Linked DNA regions of Mus musculus: region 2 is reported to be linked to region 1. The links are microRNA targets in miRTarBase. Many come from high-throughput screens and were not tested one by one. Region 1 holds a microRNA gene; the other region holds the end of a gene's coding sequence.

The links. The annotated mature microRNA mmu-miR-466k reads UGUGUGUGUACAUGUACAUGUGA and lies in region 1 at 1,266-1,288, opposite strand. An mRNA with a match to its seed (bases 2 to 7 or 8) in the 3' UTR can be bound and repressed. Matches are read on the target gene's strand: a 7mer-m8 pairs with bases 2 to 8, a 7mer-A1 pairs with bases 2 to 7 and ends in A, and an 8mer does both.
Region 2: miRTarBase lists Pld5 as a target of mmu-miR-466k. Seed matches in the 3' UTR shown: 7mer-A1 at 2,587-2,593, 7mer-A1 at 1,868-1,874, 8mer at 1,866-1,873, 8mer at 1,864-1,871, 8mer at 1,862-1,869, 8mer at 1,860-1,867 and 15 more.

The regions. Positions count from the first base shown.
Region 1 is chr3:85,465,540-85,468,683 of GRCm38, reverse strand. It overlaps Mir466k (microRNA 466k), which reads right to left and starts at 1,307; the gene lies at 1,186-1,307. The region is part of intron 1 of Gm31419 (a long non-coding RNA gene); the gene reads left to right.
Region 2 is chr1:175,961,224-175,964,367 of GRCm38, forward strand. It overlaps Pld5 (phospholipase D family, member 5), which reads right to left. Exons shown (of 10, transcript NM_176916.4): 10 at 1,083-2,861. The coding sequence ends at 2,605. Among named protein-coding and RNA genes, the nearest start is that of Becn2, 42 kb to the left of the region's middle.

The sequences.
Region 1 (3,144 bases):
AATCAAGTCCTTGTGGATGTCATGTCTCAGTGTCCTCTTTATTAGGATGTCACAGGTAAATTCCTGTGGCTGGTGCCAAGACAAACTGCCTAGAACATTTTATTTGCTGGCTTGCTCTGATTAAAGTGGAGAACGCACTGCACTTTCTCGTTTGTGGTCACCTGCTAAATCTTTACCTTATTTCTGGTGTTGCCTAACACAGCGTCTCATACACAGCAGAAGAGAAAGAGTCACTAAATGAATGAATGAATCTATTTCCTATTTCCTTCGAAATTTGAGCCTCTGCACAGGCTGAGATGTACTGGCGTGCTTTGTGTTGTTGTTGGAGGTGGAATCTGGGGTCTTGTATATGCTGGGCAAGTGTTTCATCATTGAGCTATAACCCAAGAGCTAAAAAACTTGTTCCGGTGGCATTAGGGTAGCAGACAATTTTTGGGGAAATGAAGTTTGTTTCCAGAAGGCCTAGGGCTGTGGAATCCTGGGTATAATGGATGCTTAGAAGAGAAGAGATGACTTCAGGTCTCAAGGACTGAGGACATGTCCCTAGTTTTCAGTGACTGGCTTTTATACCACCAGAAGCTCTGCACACTCTGTACTGACCCTTTTCCTGTGAACTTCCCTGTGTAACATTTGTTCCTCTGTTTTATCAGCTGAATGATGGAACCTCACAGCCAAGAACTTTGAGAGGTCAAAAGGACCTGGCTGCTTCCTGCAGGTGGCAATGGCTTCCTTTCTTCTTCAGCCTTTAGACAGTTTGGATTTCAAATTATTCCATCACTTTCTAGAACATTCCAGATCCAAGCTCTCCTCTCCTATCACAGATGTATTCTGCAGCGCTGGGCCTCTCTACTGCATGTGGTTGTGGGAGAAGAAAGCCGCTGAGGTAGTTGAAGCCATGTTTAGCTTTTAGTTCTGTGAGGCAAGAGGGCCAGGACAGAGCATTTCCCCTTCCCTGTCAAGATATCAGCACCTGCTTGGGAAGCCAGAAGATGGAGGAGTAAAAAAGCTCCTGTTCCTCGGGGGCTTGCAGGTAAGGTCACGGCCAGTGCAGAGGTGCCAGTCTTCTCCTGCCCTATAAGGCTGCTGCTACCTGTGAAAGATCAGTGCAGTTGCTTACCTGTCACCTAGGCCAGATGGAGACACAGCCATCGGAGTCACAATTAGTAACACCTACTCACCATACACACACATGCACATGCACACATATACACATATATTCACATACTCACACACATGCACATGTACAAACATATACACACACATACTCACATGTACATGTACACACACACACACACACACACATATATATGTATATACACACCTGCACACACACACACACACACACACACACACACACACATATCAATAGAGAACATGCATATACACGTACATGCACTCATGCACATGCACACCCATGTGTATATGCACACACATACATACACATATACACATATGCATGCACACACACACATACACTTATTTCTATAGGAGGGTGTACATGAATGTATATCACATGCACACATGTATATGTGTGTGAATATAGGTGAATATACAGCCCCTCCCATCCTGGAAACTAGCACATTCATATAAGACACCATAATACAGCTTTTCAATATTTTCTTTTCTGTAAGAAAGTAGGGAATTGACTGAAGTCCAGGGCTGTTGCAGTTCAGAAGTTCGGCTCTTTATCTAAATGTGGCCCTGAGAGTTAGGCAGCAGATGGAGGTAACATGGCAGCTTCCAGGGCTTGGAGTCAATGACTTCAATGAACAAAAACAGACACTTTCTTTTACTCGCTCCATTGAGAACATGACCACACATTCCTGGCTCACAGGAGACCCCTAAATCTGGAGGCCACTCCACGATGTCTCCTCATCCTTAAAGTAGAAAGTGGGACTGCGGAATCTGTCATGTGCTCCATCTTGGGCCACTGATGGGGTCTGTGTGAGATGAGATCTGATTTGCCTCGGTTATTCTGGGATGCACATTGGCTACTCTGCCCACTTCATCCATTCTGAGCTACTACCAATCTCCATCCTTACAGGCAGCAGCCAATTTGAAACGTACAGTTGTATACTCCCACTTCAGGTTACTTTTGCCAACACATATTACCTTATGTTTATTTGAGTTAAGTTTCGTCTGCCTGCAGGCTGCACAATCCCCCAAAGTGTTCCGATGCACCTGGAATTTCTTGCAAATCTTCTCTGTTTTTATTAGCCACAACAGTTTGGAACTAGTTGAAACCTCTGGGAAGAGATTAGACAACAATTACTGCCCGTTGCTCATGTAATGTCTGGCCAGGTACATGAGCCAGCAGGCCTTGCTTGGCGGGGTGGGGGTGGGTGGGCATGATAGCATTTCTATCCACTGGTCTGTCTTTTGAACTCTCAACTCTGGACAGGTACCAGGGAGCCAGCCTATCCTTGGGGTGTATGTCTACACAGGGGCATAGAGCTGTCTTATTTACAGGTTTTAGAAGCTACTGCTCTGGAGCCAAGGGAATGTGTGTTATCAAGGCCCACTCTGTCTGGTCCCCTTGGATATTACAGAAAGAAGGGACAGAAGAAGAGAGCCGAGGGAGGGGAAGGAAGCTTGCAGCACTGCTCGCTATGCTGGGTTCTGTAAAATCAGGTGATTAGACATGGGAGGAGGAAGGACAGAAGTATCACCCTTCGGACTCCTCTGGAGAGGCTGAGACATCACCATGGTCACATCCTGGAATCTGGGAATGAGGACTGGTTGAGGCTGGAAGCCACTGTCCTCAAGACCAGGTAGGACATCAAGGACCAGTTCCACGAGCCAGGATGGAGGAGGTGAAGCGGGCTGCTGCTTGCGGAAAGCAGCTTCTGTGAGCAAGGCTGGTGTGTGGGCAGCAGCTTAGGCTGAACGGATCCCAGAGCGTTCCAGCGAGCTAATCTTGTCAGCCTCAAGCTGTTCCACAGACAGTGGGTGTGAATCCAAAGCCATCTTAGATGCTCAGCTCTCAAATGTTTCTTTTAAGAAAATAAAAAAAGAGAGATTGAAGGTACACCAGACCCAAATGGGCCAGTTACCTGGGAAGGTTAGACTTGTGAGCTGTGAAGTGCAAGTATGCAGATGTTAGAGACGATGGGATGAGATGTGTGTATGGGGGTGGATGTCTCT
Region 2 (3,144 bases), not on the chromosome of region 1:
GATGCCTGTGATACATGCACAGGGCTGCCATGATGGTACGTTTGGGAATAAGTGACCTGCTGGTCATTTCATAAGTGACAATGATCTCTTTTCCTATTGCACAATACCCAAGGCAGCAACAGGGAGAGGGCCCATGCCCCCAAACCTTTGTTTGTCTCATGAGACTATTGACAAGGAATCTGGGTGACAATGGAGGGAGCCCAAAGGGAGACAACCTTTGAAGTTTCCCTTTGAATCAACCAAGGTTCCCTTTGTCTGTCCAAGAGTGAACAAGCTAGTATGTCTCCACCTTGAACCATTGCCTCCTTCCTTCCTTGGAAAATTATTCCCAAAGCTATTTTCAGACAGCTGCCAGGATGACACCCAATTCAAGGATGGAGTATATGGTAAATACTTAAGAGTCTTGTAGGCTGACCATTATTAATGAAAAGTATCACTGAGAGTCTTTAAATCAGCCCATAAAACTCGATACCCTTTAATCATAGCTTTCTCATCGGATGCTGTGTCCCTGTCCCTCTCTTAATCTCTGTCTTTCTCTCTTTTTCTTTCCATTAATTTTTGTTTGTTTTTCTGAAACAGGGTCTCTCTCTATGTAGCCTTGGCTGTCCTAGAACTTTCTATGTAGCCTCTAACCTACAAAGATCTTCCTGCCTCTGCCCCACCCCCACCCCCCAGTGAGCTGATATTAATGGCATGCATCGCCATGCCTGGATACTGTCCCAGCTCTCTTGACTGGTTTTAAACACCCAGTGAGGTGACAGGTGTCTTTGGCAGGAAAAGAACATGGGTGATCAGTAGGACTGTGAACAGCCTTCTGTGTCAGTGAACCTTTGAGTAGGGAACTCTTTTTGGCATCATTAAAACCAAGTCTCTCAAGATCAAATGAGATTGCTCATCCTTGTTCTAAAAACACAGGCACACACTGGTGCTAATGGACCATTTGCAGCGCAGCATCTAGTTATGTGTTATTATTTATGTCACCGTGACCAGGCTGCATGTTCCATTCAAATACCTACCATTCAGATGGTCACTCTGACCAACCTTCTCCACCCCTGGCCCCCATTCATATCACCTGTGTTTGCAAACAGAAAGTGCTTTATTTTGCCCTCTGGATTCTTCGGGAGAGTGCCTGGTATTGGTGCTACCAGGATACCACAGAGATTATTTCAAGAAAAAGATTATGCAATGTTAATGCTTAGCATTTATATAGGTTCTTTTGATTTCAAAAACAACTTATAAATATCGCCTACCATGACAGCATCCTTGCGAGGTAGGTGAGGATTATTGTCTACATTAACAATAGAAAACCGGGGCCAAAGAGGGAAGGGCTCTGTTCTGAGCACAGAGTCAGGAGCCACACTGGGCATAGGCATCTTGACCACTTCCTCTGGCCCTGAAGAGGTCACACCCCTCTCATGTACCAACAGTCTTTTTTAATACAGGATTATATATTATATAGATATAAAACAACACACAATGACATTATAGAACAGTAATCCAATATTTCTGTTTCTTAGTAAAATATGTTAAGCACAGTATTTAAATTGCATTTGTCTGAAAAGCATTTGGTATATTAAATAGCAGAAGGTATATTAAATAGCTCTATTATAAACATTTGCTGGCATACTCTTAACAGCATAATAATTCTAAATAAATTAAAATCCACCGACGCATAGACCTTTCCTTTATAATACTGTTAACCAAACAGAAATGTGAAACTGCTTTATTCTTCAAATGCAGACTTAATGGCTTGCTGGGTATTAGCAGGGGCACTTCATTTCTTTTTTTTTTCTTTCTTTTTTTTTTTTTTGGAGCTTGAGGAAAGGATATGTGTGTGTGTGTGTGTGTGTGTGTGTGTGTGTGTGTGTGTGTGTTTAAAAAATGTAATTGAAAGGAGAAAGTGAAAGACTGATTTCCATTCTGTATACATTCTGGGGAATTCATATCATTTCCCCAAGACATTCTCACTTTTTGAACTAATGCTGAGATGAATCCAAGGATGATGTAAAACAAGAACATGTTTGTCAGAAGACAGACTGATACCCTCAAAACCCTGGTATCAGAAGACAAGGAACAAGGGGACAGAAATGAGTGTTTTTCAGAAGTCTTGAAGGCTGGCATGAAATGGAGGTGCCTGTGCTCAGCTGCCTGGATAGGTCTTAGAGAGGATATGTCAGGGCAGATGCTTGGTTCTGTCTGCATCTTCTCCCCCCTTCCTCTAATTCCAGAATTCAGCAATATTAAAGGAAAGGGCTCACCTCATGTTATTCTTCTTAAAACCAGTGCTGATGGGTCAGCAGAAAAGATTCTAAAACCAGTAAGAATCAGGAGACAAGAACCAAGTCGTAAAATGTGTTTGCAGTCATTAAAAACTAACTCCTAGGCCAGAACAACATTCTCTGTCAGAGCTCATAGATACAAAAGTCTTAAATTTAATATACAGTGCTAAGATGTTGTTAGCTAGATATTACATGTCATTCAGAGAACATTTTAAATAAGTGTGCTTTTTATTTCTCCTTAATAAAAGAAAAGATGTAGTAAATTGTTGTCTTTCCTCTAGTCCTTCCTGCATTTGGTCTGAAGCCTTGTGTGTCTGTTAGTGAGCTATACGCTCAGCGGCTCCCTCCCGGTGGCATTGGCCATGGCAGGTTGCTTGGAGGGAGACTTGAGTTTGGACAGGCTTGAACAGTTCGGTTGTTTGGTGGGCTGTATGGATTTGGCATAAGGCGAATACCAGTCCCTCTCAAACACGTCCTTCAGTTGCTTAATGATGCTCCTGTTGTCTCTCACATCTGCCTGGTTGATGACAAGGCCCGTGCCAGCGTTCTGGGTAAAGTCATTCCCTACCCAGTCAAAATTTCCTACAAATAAAGAAATGATGATGAGAAGGTACGGTCCACTGGGAAAAGTCCCACTATAATGAAATACAGAACAGATTATATATACATATATATATATATGTATATATATATATATATATACAAACAAACAAACACCCAAAATAATAAGAGAGGCAGAATCCTGATGACAGCTCCCGAGGAAAAAAATTGCTAGAAGCTCCACATATGGCAGATTAATATTTGCATATTATTTTGGCATTTTCTTCAGCTTCGCTCAAGTCGAAACTCAAAACAAGAAATCTGC